2 linked regions of the Drosophila melanogaster genome follow. The protein of the gene in region 1 interacts with the protein of each later gene in a pairwise test. Each region holds a gene or a part of one and is shown in the gene's direction. Other genes may lie near its edges.

Region 1 (7,016 bases):
CGCTCAACAGGATGAGCAGGATAATGGATACGTGGAGATGGGGGACTCGACTCGCTACCAGGATGTAATGCCTGATATGCGGAGACAACGGAAATTTGTTTAAGCTGCTCAATTTGCCGGAACGCGTCTGTTTACAATGAAATTTCATTTGCCGTTTACTTTTCATGTTGTTTTTTTTTTTTATTTTTGGTGTTAGGGGGGGAGCTGGGGAACGGCAAAGTACAAACGTCATGCGTGTTCTATGTAGTATATAGGAACATATCTCGGATCAAGTTGAGTGACAACTGGCAGTCGAGCGGGAACTTATACGGCCAACCGAATATTATCTTTGGGCTAGCGTTGCGGTGTCTGGTCTATTTGTTCAATATGCTCTATAAATATGATTGTCAATTGAGCGCCAAGCAAATGCATTTTCCCATTTTCCTCGCATTTTCCCCGCATTTTCCGCTCTCTCTCTCTCGCACTTAGAGCACAAAATGGGGCGTTTTATGTAAGTCTATAAATTAAAACATGAAACGCTTATAAATCCATATGACTGCTGGTTGTGGCAGCAATGCACTTTCTTTTTTGATTTGATAAAATTTTCAAAAGCATTATTAACTTTGCATTTATATTATATTTTTAAATATTCAATAATTAAAATTAATTGTGAGCAAATAGTATGTGAGTGAATGCACAATTATCTTAACCACACAAAATGGCTTAAAATAAACACGAAACTATGAAGAATTTTACATTTATTATATTATTATATATATTAAAAATTTAGTAATTATTTTTTTTTATGTATGTAATTAAGCAGTGTTCTTAAGTACAAAGGTCCTTCTGCAGACTGATTTAGCCGTCAGTAAGACAATCACTGGGTTATTAATCCCATACCCTTTTGTGTCAAGATTTTCAGCGATTCCTTGGGGCATCCATCACTTGCCTCAAGTGCAGCATATGCATTCCGGGGGTTTGGTTGCATATCTGAAGTGCTTACAACAAAATACACTTATCAGCAATGAGTGTGTCAATTACATGCCGCCACACCCTCACCCTTTCTCAACATAGGAAAGCAGTGGCAACATTGGGCAATGTGTTGAGTGCGATGATGCAGTGCAGCGAGCTGTTAATGAGGCTCATTATTAATATGGCAACGATATGTTTGCGTCATGAGCAATGAGCTGGCTGCAAAGGGAATTTACACGCGCTGCCCTGTCAGCAGCAAGATCAAAGCACAGCCTCCACTGGATGTACTCACTCCAAATCCTCCCTAGTCCCAGTCCCATGGCCATAATGTGTTATGAGTTATTGACGGAGTGGGTAGATGATCCGCTTCCTGGGAGCCCAGATCGCCAATTCCACAGTTGTACAGATCTCCAGCTCTCCGGCTTGTCAGCAGCTGACAGCGCCATGTCATAGCAATTTGCCCGGCTGTAGGTGTTCCATGTCAACTCCAACGGCACATCGCCACCTACCCGGGATGTCGGTGTGTAATGCCCTCTGACAGGCAGGCACTCAAATTGAATACTCAATGCTCACAGCACGGACGACCGACGAACTGGATACCATTTAGCGTTAGATTTATTTCGGGCATTAAACGCAGATCGCATTTCAAAAGACGGTACTCTGGTACACTAACAAAAATGGGGACAAATTGAAGGCTGAAGTGAAAATATTGATGCCACAATAGATGGCACGCACATTTGTAAAATAAAATATGTATTTGAATGTAAGTATATAAGTTCATACTCATTTCTTCTGGATAACATTCCACACTAATTTATTCTCAGTGCATCTGCAACCATTTCCCAAATGCACACGAGATGGGCACTTAAGAGATCTCCAGGCGCCGGATGTGCGCTATTTTTCCCATATATAGTACATGTCACTCTCTCCCAAACATACTTACATATCCGAATCCCATTTTCCGAGCTGGAAAAAAGTGCAAGTTACAAATGCGTATAGATAAGCATAGACCATCATGCAGCGGTCGTATTTTCCCAATCCGATTCGCCTCGGCGATAAGATTAGATTAGGGGGCCACCCACCACCAGATGGGGGAGCACGGATAGGCAAATTAGATGGCCCAAATGCCATCAAACACCGCATAGCCGTTACCAAAATGCGACGTCCGCTCTCGCCGACATTGGCCAAGTTGGCCGAGCAGGAGGTGAACGAGACGCCCGACAGGATTCAGCAGGATATTATCATCCTGCGCGTGTGGATTCGCCAGCAGCCGCATCTGCGCGCCCGCACAGATGTGGACTTCCTGATCGCCTTCCTCAGACGCTGCCGTTACAGCCTGGAGGAGACCAAGCGCCGGATCGATCGCTACTTCACCCACTACAATCTATTTCCGGAGATCATGAATAACCGCTGTGTGACTCAAAGACTTCTGGACATCAATCGGATGGGGTGAGCTAATGTTATTCCAACATTTGAAGTTAGTCATTTATCTTAAGACGCTGGTTTTGCTCTTAGAGTTTGTCTCTATCCGGATATGCCAAAGGGTGATAGCCGTAGTGCCATGTTTATAGCCCGTTTCGGTCATTTCGATCCCAATTTGTACATGCTGCGGGAGATCTATCATTTTTCGTCGATGGCCATGGAGGTGATTGCGCTGGAGAATGACTATGCCAGCTTGGCGGGAATCTGCGAAATAATTGACCTCGAGGGCGTCAACTCGGATAAGATGCGACGCTTTGATAGGGTTCTATTTCGCAAATGGTGGAACTGGCTCTACAATTGCAGCCCCCTTAAAGTGAAGGAGATGTATATCATAAATATGCCCAAGGATATTCAGGGTACCGTCATGTTTCTGTACAACGTGCTTAGCATGCAAGTCAACTATCCGGTGGGTATTGATAACTTAATCAGCAAGTTATCACCTTCGTGATAAAATTGTTTTTATAAAGTAACCATTAGAGATTCAGTACCAATTAAGGCTAGATATGTTTATCTTATTTCAGATACGCGTGCTGAAGAACAGCGAAGAGCTAATCGAGCACATTGGCAAGGAATCGCTGCCGGAGGAGTATGGCGGTACCAATGGACATTTGGGTGAATGTGTGGCCTACATGGAGGACCTGTTGAATAGCTATCGTGGTTATTTCGAGCAGGACTGCAACTACGGGACCATTGAGGAGCTGCGGCACGGCGAAATAGCCACATATGAGGCGGAATTTGGAGCCAATGGCTCCTTCCGTCGTCTCAATTGGGATTGATACCAGCACGGAAGCAGGAAACCTAGACCCTCCCTCCCACAATAGCGTTTATCCATATAAACATTCCAAACTCTGCTGTAGTCGATCAATTAAAGATAACACCCACTTATCAACTATCTATGCACTCGTGTATCTATATCTAACTGACTGCCGACGGGTTTCGGCTCGCCGTTCCAGCTAGTTTACAAGGTGTTGCCCCGATTAGATAAGCGATGCCGCCGCAAAAGCCAATACCATCACTACCACGGCGCTGCGTCAGTGGTTTTGGCATTCAGTTACTAATGAACCGAGCGCCGGAATGGCGAACACCCTGAGAACTCTCGACCCAAAGTTGGCGGCTCTGGCCAAAAGTGAGTGCAACGAGGAGCAGGCGCAGCGAGCGGAGATTATTGCCACCATTAAGACATGGATCACCAAGTCGCCGCACCTTAAGGCGCCCACGGATGAGCAGCTTATCCTGGCCTTTCTGCGGCGTTGCCGTTTCAGCCAGGAGGAGACCAAACGGCGATTCGACAACTACTACTCCCTGCGCAGCGTGTTCCCGGAGGTTCTGGGATCCCGACAGGTGGACGAGGCCCTGCTCACCCAGTTGCAACGCGGGTGGGTTGAATGTTCCATTTGCTATATACCCTTTTTGCCTTAGGCTGCTAAATATTTCACAAAACCATACAGAATACAGCTTTCTAATCAGTGGTGTTAAACGTAACAAACATTATCAATAATAATTTATTCACTATCTATGTGAATTTCTGACTGGAAATTAGTTGCGTGTTACGAAAGACCTATGTTAAGAAGGTAAAGATACTTTATTTAATTTCTATTTCGAATTAACAGAATCCATGTGATACCCATGCGACCTGTGAGTCCCGAGGGGCCAAGGGTTATCATCTCGCAGTTCCGAAACATCGATCCCAAGAAATCGAATCCCCGCGAAGCCTTCAAACTGATCTTCATAATGTTGGAACTATTGGCTTTGGAGTGCGATAATGCCGCGATTTCCGGCTTGATCTGGGTTGTGGATGCCAGAGATGTTACCATGGAGCAGATGATGCAGTACGATCCCTTCCTGCTGAAGAAGGCATTTGCTCTGGTGGACCAATGCATACCACTGCGATTTGTTGAGATTCATATGATCAATATGCGCAAGGAGGGACAAACCATATTCAATTTTGTAACGAAGTTTTTGCCCTCCAAACTGCCTTTCAAGGTGAATCTATCATCAAAAAGCTTGAATTGCGTTAGGATTGGTAATTAATCTCTACAATATTCTACACAGTTCGTGGTCCACAAAAAGTCGGAGGATCTGTACCAGCACCTGCCCAGAGATGTGATGACCATCGAGTATGGTGGCACCAATGGCTATCAGGCAGAGGCAGTGGATCATTGGCGCCAGAAGCTGCTGGACAGCAAGGATTATCTGGCCAAGGATGCCCAGTATGGTACTAATGAGAAACTGCGCGTCGGATTGGCCAGTGCCTGGGCCAATGGAGAACTGGACGGGATGAGCGGTTCCTTCCGCAAATTGGAGCTAGATTAAGTAAGACGACTCTAGTTGCTGTTTTGAATTACCATTTAATTAAGTTCTAATGCTATACAAATAATTTAAGGCCTATTCGGGTCACTGGGTATCTCGTGTATCCTCTTAAAAATAGCTTTACAATTGCCTAAGGTGCTGATACTTAAGTGCTAAGTGCTGCACTTCCGTTTGAAGTTCACGTGCAGAGAAGTGGGTGCAGTTGCTCCGGATGAGGGCGGCGATTGGGTATCTGAAGCGGAGGGCGTGGCCTTATTTTGAATGGGACTCGTGGTGCTCTTATTGATGCTCTGAACAATCAGATTTAGACAGTCCAAACTGGAGCCATTGGCATTGCCATCAAAGTCTATACAAAAATATTTTAGATAAATACATCAAATACTTTTTTTTTTTTACTTTTACCTGTAAACTGACCATATTTCTCCATATGTTTGTTGTAAAAACTAAGTTTATCTTCTAGATAAGCGCCAGCATAGGAGCTCTGCAAGGAAAAACATAAATAAATACAAATGGAAAAATCATATATTTTTTTTTTAGTTGGCCTCAAGCGAAATTGGGGAAACAATAAATTACAGAAAAGTGTCGCCGTCGAAATGACAACGTCAAATTTGCTCCGGTCCTGTCAACTTGGCCAACGAGTGCCATACAGAATGCAGTCTAATGATGAGATTAAGCCAAAATTTATGCCAGTAAAGAGATTCCACAGGCCAATTAAAACGCATTGAACCACCGCACCACACCCATTGTCTGCCCCAACATTGTGGGGCATTGTGTGCAGTGCACTTTAGAGGCAATTAAATTAATTTTGCGCATACGCAGACGACAGACAAGGCATCCGGAGATTCGGTCGGGATTTCATTAGAAAAATTCGCTATAACGCCGATGCTAAGCAAATTATAATTGCCACTTCTGGGTGGGTTTCCTTGCTGCCCCCCCCCCCCCCCCAAATCCGCATCTGGTGCATCCAAAGTGCCGTCACTTCGTCTGCAAGGATCGACAAATACAGGGCATCCCGTATGGCTTATATGTATGTACGTCTGTTTATATTTAGCGGACAACAAAGTACGGAGTGATAAAACAACAGAATAGCATTCAAAGCCGAGTGAAGTGAACTAAACTGAACGAGAGCAGATGAACTCACACTGCACTTTTATAAAGCGATTTATCATTTTTTTCAAGCGTTTAGTGACAGCCTGCGCTCGATATGCCGCAGTCAGCAAGCGGATACACTGGGAAAAATTACACAAAAATAGCACAACTGGGTTAAAAGCAATAAAGTCTATTTATATGACAATATAATACCGAATATTGAAAAATTTCTTTGGAAATAAATTCTCAATTTAACAAGCATGTTCGAAATATATTTTTAGACATGCCCGACTTCTTTCTGTGTACTTGTTTGCAGGTCTTTATGGTATTTCGGTGTATTTTATTTTATTTTTTTTTTTTTGAGCATATATCATGCGTTGTATCTGAATGAAATGCCACTTATCACTTGGGCATTCCGATTCTTCGGTTGCGTAAAGATTTTAAGCCGCTTTTTGGCGCGTTCCCCTTAGATGTTCTCCTCCGATCTGTGAGCGTGTAACGGATATGCGGCATTATGCGATTTGTTAGCCATAAGTTGCATGAGTTTTTACCATGAAATATGCTTTTAATATACTAAACCCACTTTAAAAATATTGCCACTTCTCTGCGAGTTGTGCGGTCAGTCGTAAGATCTCATAATCCATTTCGGAAATATCACCGAAAAAATGCAAGAACTACTTGCCAGATATGTATTTACATTTTTAATAAGATGCAAATAATGTTGATGTTTATTTTCGGAATTATTTAATCAATCTTTCTCGGAAACTGAAAAAGTTACTTTTTGAAACGGGGACGTGTGATAAAGATTATCAGTGGTGGTTAGACCATAAAAATCACACCAATTATCTCTTCTCAATAATTTGCAATATCATTTATAAACTGCTTTCCATTCGTAGAAAATATCTAATAGTGTAGCTGTAAAGCTATTCAAAGATAACAAAAGTTTTCGGTAGCATATCTGTACCTGATAATAGTTTAAAAACTGAATGGTAGGGAATCCGATCAATCCTGACTCACTGTCCAAATGGATGGTTTGCACCCACGTTACCCACATCTTTCCGTGAGTCATTTGCACCGAAAAGCTCTATCTTAAGACTTCAATGATTGCGGCTATGTATTTCATTACGTAGAAATTTGACTGATATAGACAAGGTGGCACTTTTGTATATCGCAAGTACTACACT
Region 2 (8,844 bases), on another chromosome or scaffold:
GTATGAATACTATATTTTTTAACCCGATTTTCACTTACCATGATAAAAACTCAAAGCTCAGAATATAATAATTTTTGGTAAGGCAAATGAGTGTTCCAAAAGCCAAGCTAATAGTAAATAACATTGTTTTTGAATTCGATCGACCCTGATTGAAACTGTCCAAATGTTGCAAATGGGTGGGACGTGCTTTTAAAAGTGCGTGCTTGATGGATTTTTTCACAGCCTATTCTGTTTTGCATGAATACAAAGTTCATCAAATAAAATTATGAACTGCCAAGAACCCAAAACCAAACAAACTCGAGTGTTCACAGCTCACTCCAAGTGTTAATGAATGATTTGCGAAGGAGGGAAAGGGTGGCCTATTCCAAATCATAGCATTGGAAAATCAATTTCGAAAAAGGGTCACGTATCGGGTATTAAGCTGAAGCTACATTGCCGCCGATCAGCGCAACATAATCAAAGTTTTACCGGGAATAAGAGCCTGAAACTGAAAGTGACGAGCATAAATTATAGCAGAATTCGATCTGGTAGCTTGGGGCTATAAATACGTCGTGTCGGATCGAGAAATCAGAACAGAAGCCCTTCAACCGCGAAAATGTTTAAACCGACTGGCGCACCAATTGCTATTCTTGTCCTGAGCCTGTTGGCGCTGAGCTCCGCGGAGCCGATCCGCCGGAGGTTCTTGGCGCGCCAAGTGGAGGCTATACCCAGTCCTTCGCCCACCGGATATCCGGAGGCGGGCATCACCCCGAGTGTTCCCTTCGATTTACCCAGTTCGACTGTCAAGCCGGAGAACACTTATCTGCCGCCTGATAACACCTATGGACCTCCGGACAACACATACGGGCCACCAGATAACACTTATGGACCTCCAGAGACCGACTCCGTGCCGGCTATTGCTCCCGAGGCTGAGCCGCTACCAGAGAATCCCATCGAGACTGATGATATTCCAGAGACTGAGGAAGCATCGGTTGACGGTGCCAAGCTGCAGCCCGCTGATGAGGACGCCGAGGAGGATGAACCGCAGCTGGATGTTGCTGAGGATGGCACTGTGATCGTTGTAGCTAGCAGTCTTGACCAGCCACAGTCCGTCCAGTCCGCCCGACTCTACCAGCGATTTCCGCAAGGACGGCGTTCCCAGAGGCCCGTTCCTCAGCGTCTAATCCTGCGTCGCAGTTGGTAGACTTTAAAACTTTAGCGTAAGCAAATACGTCACTGCGTCAGACTTAAGGAAATATCATACAGGCAAAGACTCTAGAATAATTATTCTAGTGTCTTTGATACAGGGCTGGAATCTATTCTAACGATATCATGCACTCACCGTACACAGAAAATATATTTACAAAATATTACTTACAAAATTCAATTTAAAATGAAATCCATACTGAAACTAATAGGAAAGCGTTATATTTATTATTTTTTTTATTCCTGTGTAAAAATAATATACAATTATTTTGTATAAGCACTCCCTTTTAAAGAAATCTAACCACACATTTTCATAACAGCCAGTACTTACACGCGCCTTAGTCACCACCTCCATGGGCACGTATCGTTGGACCTGGCTTATAAGTCATCGGCCTCGAGGTTTCTTCGGGCGTTTGAATTGGGCAGTTCCCAAGGGCATTCCTAGGGGGTATTTATAGGCGCCACTTAGCCGCCCATGCAGCAGTTCATGTCAGCACACCACAATGTCCGGTTATCCAAGTGCTTCTCTGGTCACCTTTGCGCTTTGTTCCATTCTTTGCCTGAATGGAATTGAAGGCAGTCATCTGAGGTTCCCAGGACCCGCGGCGGGAAGGTTTCTGCAAAGACAGGAACAAGCCCCATATCCACCAGCAGGCCTGGTCCCCGATCCGCCATTCGACCTGCCAACGGAGGAGGCGGTTGAATTTCCTCAACCGGAGGATACATATGGCCCTCCACCTGAAACATACGGACCACCGTCTTTGGTGGAAGCGCCAGCTGAGGTCTACGGCCCACCGGACCAAATTTATGGACCTCCCGATCAGACCTACGGACCTCCAGACCAGCCAGCCAATGATGACAGCTCCAACACATTGCCACAAAGCGCAGCTATAATTAATTTGGCAAGTCTGCCGCTACCACCCCAGGCTCAGTATGTTCTGCCGCTTCTGAACCGACTTTCTGCCTTCCGCCCGCAGCGTCCGGTTCTGCGGACTCCGCAGCGACGGCCGGCTAAGCTTACGGTTCGTCGTCGGCCAGATGCGGTCAAGATTGTGAATGCTATTAGGCCTACTCCAGTGTTCCCATCGACTCCGCAGGCTTTGCCCTTCGTGGATCGCCACATTCCTTTTCGCCCACGGCCATCTCGCCTGATAGTCAATGCGCCTTTCAGACGCCCATCCAGGCAATAGACTACTTCTTTCAGCACTCCAAGCAATGTCATGAATACACTGTAAATAAAGTTTGTTGTCTATGTCTAATTTGCGATCGAAAATAATTAGGTAGAAAATTCAGAAGGCCAGCCGCTTCATCAGCAGGTACATGTGCTGGTCCACCTCGAAGCCATGAAGATTGTTGGCGTCACCCTGAAGTCGCATCAGCAAGCCGCCGAATGACACGTAGGCGGAGAGCCGGGAGGCCTCATTGTGTGCTTCGTCGCCCTCGATCCTGTAGATCTTGCCGTACATCACGTACTCAAAGCTGTCCGCCCGCGTTCCCTCGTGCTCCATTGGATTGTACTCCCCGCTGTCCGGGCAACCATCCTCGCGCAGGGTGGTGGCCAAAACCAGGCGGAACTTGTCGCCCAGCTCCATGGGGTATAGCCACGAGTTGATGTCCAGGATGAGGTCCATCTTAAACGACTCGGACTCGCAGTGCAGGCGGGATACACGGTCGAACTTTTTGCCCTCCGGATCCATGTCCTTTACGTTGAAGATGTCCTCAAAGAGTACTCCAGCCATTTTAACTGAAATGTAGTATTTGATGAGTTATTGCTTTGAAGTCAGTTTAGTGGAGCTCCAAAAACGCACGCCTTACCTTGAGTCGGCTAATTAGATTTTATACGTATTTGATCTTATATGCGGAGGTAAATGCGTGTTCTTTTATGAACTGGGTTTATATCAGCAGAATTTTATTATATTTAAACTGTTAGCGACTAATATTTATTTCTTAAATATTTTGCATGCGCGTGTTAAGTATGAGAGATGCCAGATCTTTCTGGCGGCTTGAGTGTTGCCACACGTCTGCGATTTCAGTGAGCAAAGTGGTCACGTTCAGCAGGCTGTGATTTCAGTGTGTAAAAGAAGTCACGTTCAACAAAGTGTGCCTCACTTTGTTCTTACTGAAATTTCAATAAATATTGCAGTGATACTGCGCAATGTGATTTTTAACTTATTTATAACTTATTGCGCCGCAACCTACACGTTATTGGATTTTCTCTAACTAGTGACTGTGCATCACGCTCCCATCTGTGGCCGCGCAGACAGAGAGTCCCAGTGTGACCGTCTATCGGTGAATACACATCACTAACATTAAGAACAACATCGAAAAACCACCGAAAACTGTTATTTATTTTGCTGGACAAAACGCAGTATTGGCTTAGAATCGGCAAACCCGCAAAGTCCCACAAAGGTTAAGCCGCAGGCAGCACGATGGATACACCTTGAGGAGCCAGTCGGACTGCCACCTAGCGGATTGCAAAAAGTATGTACACACAGCTCGTGGTGTCGAAATTAAAAACAAATAAGAAGCGAACTCATAGTCGGACGCGGAATGCATAGGAAGTCCAGGTGTGTCCCATTCGGGGTGATGCTAAGTTTCCTGTGGATCGAAGGCCCTTAGCCTAGCGACTCCTGCTTTTTGCGAAGGTAAGTCCACGCCCGGTGGGGCTTTGGTGTTGGTGTTGAATGTGGAGCCCCTGGGCCAAATGTGTAGCATATGTGTATAATGGATTGCTTTACGTATATGAGTGCTGTGGTGCTGGTTCATTAATTACTAACAATCGGTTGCAAGACCCCGAAAACTACACAGTCGTCGAGTTTTGTGCCCCGAATACGAAAGACTTCAACGGCCCCTACCCTCATCCAGCGACCGCCGCCGCCTTAACCCTTACCCACCCCCATAACCCCGCCTATTTAGCATTACAAAACTGCTGTTATGTATTCACTTCTTTATTTTCGCTTTTTGTGTGTGATTTTCGCTGTCGTTCGTGCTTTTTGCCCTGTTCTCTTTCAATTTCGATTCCCAGCTGCGGATTCTAGCTTAAATTCGCTTTTTCAACAGTTTGGTCGAGGGCCGTTGTGCTGCTAAAGTGAGTTAGTTTTCAGCTTCTGCGGGTGCGGCTCTAATGAACCATTAACCCTCCGCAGGGGGAGGGGGTTGCTTGGCACTGGAATCGGAATCGGAGGGTTCCCAATCTGCTTGCCAGATGTTCGTCCCAGCCCAGGGTCATCGTAATCGCTCTCTTGCAGTTGCATTTTCAGTGTTCTCGCTTTTCATTGGAAACTCCGCCGCCTCGGAGAACAGACGCCGCGGGATCGAAAACGCTCAGGTTGCACAGCTTTATCTCGATATCTTTTTATAGCTCTACCGTGATTTTAGTGAAAGCGGTGGATTGCTTATCAGTTGTTGCCTTCCTCGGGATCTTATCAGGCGGTTTCTCCATCTCGCTCCCGCCCAAACAAAAGATTAAGACAACAAACTAAGAATTTTTTTTGGAAGCTTACGTTCGCTGGAAATGTCAATTGATAATGCGACCCACTTCAAGACTTGGGCTCCTAGCTCTGTACACCGTGAAAAACAGTCCACAACCTTCCGTTGTTAACTAGATTTGTAAAGAAACGAATATATTTTCTAATTGGATAGCCAATGAATTGCAATTAATTAATTAATTATGATAAACAACGTCTAAAAATCTCAAGTGATTTCGACAACACTGCAAAAATAGTAAGAACTATTGCATTAACGTAAAAAGTGCCATGCTTTTCGAAGCCCCTAAATATGCAAATCCACCAATTTTGGTAATATTTTTCCTGTGCATAGGTCTTATCACTGTTGACACAGCTGGAGTTTCTGTTCCGTTGCTGTTTCTCTTCTTGTTTCTGTTTCGGCTTCACTTGCGGTTACTATTTCTGTCTGTGTTTTTGATTCTCCGTCTGCTTCGGAACGTGGCGCTCGGCGAGTGGAGAATTAAAACAGCTCTTAACTTTTTTTGCAGCCCATCTGAACTAATCCAAACCAAAGGTGAATGGGAACTATCCTAGAAGTAGCAATCGAACCAAAAAATACGAATACCCTAAATTACATACGTAGAACATTAACCCTAGAAGTAAAGACAAACGCAGCAGGTGCCGGTGTTTCCCAGGAAGCGGTCCCCAGAAATTTAGTTACGAATCCAAATAATAAAAACCAAACAAATGGTACGCAGCCGTCGTAGTGTGTCCAAGGAGGATGCCGTCTCTCTGCTCACAGACAGCGGCATATCGCTGTCTTCGCCGCCGGCGGCGAGGGAATCCTCACCAGGCCCTACGCTTGCGATCAAAAGGAGGAAGAGCAGCTTGGCAAGTCTGCGCGATGCTTGTGTGGACGAGGAGGAGGACGACGGCGGAGAGCAGGACTCAAAGGATGATGATTACGTGCAACCGCAGCTTAAGAAGTCTGCCCGAAAGGGCGAACCGGTGAAACGCAAGCACCATGTCTGCAGTCAATGCTCCAAAGAGTTCGGTGGCAAGACGGATCTGCAGCGCCACATGCTTATCCACTCGGACGAACGACCGCACAAGTGCAAGGATTGTGGCAAGAGCTACCGCCAGGCGGTCAACCTGAAAAATCATATCACCACCGCCCACGAGCATCGGAAACAGTTCGTTTGTTCCCAGTGCCCAAAATCATTCGCCCTCAAGGAGCGCCTGCGGCTCCACATGCGCCTCCACTCTGGCGAGAAGCCCTATCCTTGCGACCTCTGCGACAAAAAATTCGCCCGAGGAGGTCAAGTGAGTAATACGACATTCCATTTTTAACTGAGATTTAACAATTAATTTTATATTTTTCTCATAATTTGATTTATTATAAACTTAAATAATAATATTTATTATAATAATTAAATATAAATAAGTGTATTTAATAATGAACTTTCTATTAGGCTTTTGTTTTTATAGGTCTTAACCATTGGTGTTCCTAATATATATTATCATTTATATTGCAGCTGCAACAGCACATGGTTTCTCACCACAAGACGAGTATCCAGCAGTTCAACTGCACTAAGTGCTCGGCCAGCTTCTCAACCAACGCCAATTTACGGGTGCACATGGAGCGACACGAGCAGGGCATGGAGCACCGGTGCAGCATCTGTGAGAACCAATTCGCCAACGAGCTGGCCCTGCGAGCGCACATAAACCAGGAGCACCACAAGCTGACGCAATTTGAGTGCGAGATATGCCATAAGATGATCGAGCCGGACGAGGATTTGGCCACTCACATGCAGAGGCACACCGCTGTTAAGACCCACGTCTGCGAGGTGTGCAACACATATTTCACCCAGAAAAGCCAGTACAATGTCCATATGCGAATGCACACGGGAGAGCGCCCCTATCAGTGTAGGGTAAGTTGAAAGGGTGTTAGCTTGCATGCAGCCGTAAATTATGTTTCTACTTCCATCAGATCTGCCACCAGACCTTTGCCCATTCAAGCGTACTAAAACTGCACATCCGAAAGCATACGGGGGAAAAACCCTTTCGCTGCCAGCTGTGCGAAGACGAAGTAGCCTTTTCTCAGCTGGCGCACCTAAAGAACCACATGAAGAAGATACACAAACAGCAAAAGCCCTACATGTGCGAAGGCTGCCACGATTTCTTTAAGATCAAGGTGGAGCTGCAGTCGCATGTTGAGCACTGCGCCAAGTGTCCAGTTGACGGGGACAAACCCAGTGGCAATCAGTCTGAAGATGCGCAAATTCTCTCTGTCTTAAGATTTAACATGGCAGTGGTACTGAAGAAAATTAGCTCCGCTCAAAAGCTGCGCCAGTTGGGCTACGAGAAGCGTCTAATCGATAACGTTATCATTGCATCCTTGAAGCTGGCTCAGCGACAATCCCATGACGACGCCACGATGACCCCATTGGCCAGACTCCGGCTAAATGTGGAGGAATTTCTTAAGTGGATTGTGCCAGCCCCCACTATGCAGAAATTCAGCGACGAATTGTTGTCTATAGACACGATTCTTGAGAAAATTGCTACCATGTATATGAAACAGAAGTAGAATCCAGGAGTTGATAGCCAACGCCAAATGCGAGTGTGCCATAGAAGAAGGATTTGTAGAACTAGTTCTTGCCATTTAGTTTAGTGTTTAGTAACCCAAAGTTGCAGAACGAAACCCAACCAAATAATTTATCCCAAAGATATATACTTTGTAGTACAGGTCATTTTAATGAATTACTACCCTTAATCCCAATTTTGCTGCTACCAAAAAGTATAATTTGAAGAATGTATGAGTTAGTGTTGTCATAATAATTTCCCTATTAAAGGAAATTAGTTTAAGAACGAATTTCGATGCAATAATTTATAAAATAATAGGCATAACACGATTGAAACCTGAAATATTTTTGTATGCTTAGTCTTGCCAGAGCAACAGATTGTCCCGGAGTGAATCTATAACAGCTCAAGTACAATACAACTCATTGTGGCCATGCTTGTAAAATTAATAAGCTTAATGCATTTAGTTGCCATTTGTCTTTTCCAACAAAAGTGCAAAATCTGAAGTGTACAACTGAAATGCAAATCAAAATACGCAAGTGAAAAAATGAAATGAATAATAAATATTATTTGTGACTACAACCCAACACTGGATATTAGTTTTTCGGACTTTTTAATCATGAAACAATTTGCAGCAAGTATTATTTTCGCTTATTTTTAAGATTTCGTAAGTCTGCGAGCTTACGTAAGAGTTAGAGAAAGTTTATGAGAACGAATGATAAAAAGAACACATTCCCTTAACTAAGAGTGAGCACGTCCACTATCCCACAAAGCTGCTCCCACACTTTTGAATATATTAATATTAATTTAATAATTTTGGTTTTTATTATTATTATTGAAAGTTTCTATGTTTATTCCAAAAGGATTTTGGCCGTCTACAACAAATGGCAAAGGCCTTACATATTATTTCAGTCAACTTTCGATCTTGCTGTAGCTGGTGTCTGGAAGTTGAGGATCTCGACTAGCATCTTAGGAAGCGACACGGCTTGAATCAATCAATTTTCTGCATCTCCTGGCTTGCGTGCCTTTGACCTTTGAGGCTCATCTATGGAATTTCAAGTCCGGCTGGAAGCTGCATTCCATATTTGAATGCGGCCAAAAGAGCAACGAGTCGCACAGAAACACCCAGGCACACCCAACCGGGCTGGCATCTAACCACATAAACAGTTAGGTACAAGTGCCCCATGGGTCCCTGCCCGTTGGCCATAAATGGTCTGGGCTTGTGCACAAATTTATAAGCCACTTACATTAAGGTGGCCAATATTTTTTATGGCAAGCCCCGCACTGCATGCGAACCGAGCTCTCTGAGCAGCGGTGGCATCTGCAGGCGCTGTGGCACCTGCCCGCGCCACTTCCTCCGGTCCGCCACCTTCCACCCACCCGGAGCAATTAATGAAATTTGCACGGCGAATTTATTGACGCGACCGTTAGTGTCAACCCAAAGGATTTGCTTGGCCACGAGATGTATGTACAATTTTATGTGTCAAATATAGTTATGATTTTATGATACCCCGCTTGGGTAGCAGGCTGGGATTTTCCTCCGGCCATACCATTGCGTGTCTGTCACCTGAAGCTGCTGATGTAATCTCCGCCGGTATGCCATCCCATCTCACCCCATGCCGTTCCCGCTCCC

The links.
Region 2: the proteins of CG10300 (region 1) and CG11247 interact in a two-hybrid assay, tested with the Drosophila melanogaster proteins (one large-scale study listed by BioGRID).

Annotation. Positions count from the first base shown.
Region 1 is NT_033777.3:23,708,051-23,715,066, forward strand, and holds CG10300 (uncharacterized protein), read left to right. Parts: upstream 1-3,476; 5' UTR 3,477-3,507; coding exon 3,508-3,809; intron 3,810-4,043; coding exon 4,044-4,416; intron 4,417-4,485; coding exon 4,486-4,746; 3' UTR 4,747-4,895; coding exon of another isoform or gene 4,896-5,089; 3' UTR 5,090-5,145; coding exon of another isoform or gene 5,146-5,224; 3' UTR 5,225-5,263; downstream 5,264-7,016. Other genes in the region: CG10301 (uncharacterized protein), read left to right, coding at 2,108-2,400, 2,467-2,839, 2,955-3,209; nau (nautilus), read right to left, coding at 4,896-5,089, 5,146-5,224.
Region 2 is NT_037436.4:21,723,273-21,732,116, reverse strand, and holds CG11247 (uncharacterized protein), read left to right. Parts: upstream 1-3,310; 5' UTR 3,311-3,666; exon of another isoform or gene 3,667-3,724; 5' UTR 3,725-3,830; intron 3,831-5,179; 5' UTR 5,180-5,378; coding exon 5,379-5,954; intron 5,955-6,166; coding exon 6,167-6,562; intron 6,563-6,621; coding exon 6,622-7,218; 3' UTR 7,219-7,791; downstream 7,792-8,844. Other genes in the region: CG14569 (uncharacterized protein), read left to right, coding at 596-1,183; CG14570 (uncharacterized protein), read left to right, coding at 1,689-2,375; Polr2H (RNA polymerase II, I and III subunit H), read right to left, coding at 2,475-2,924.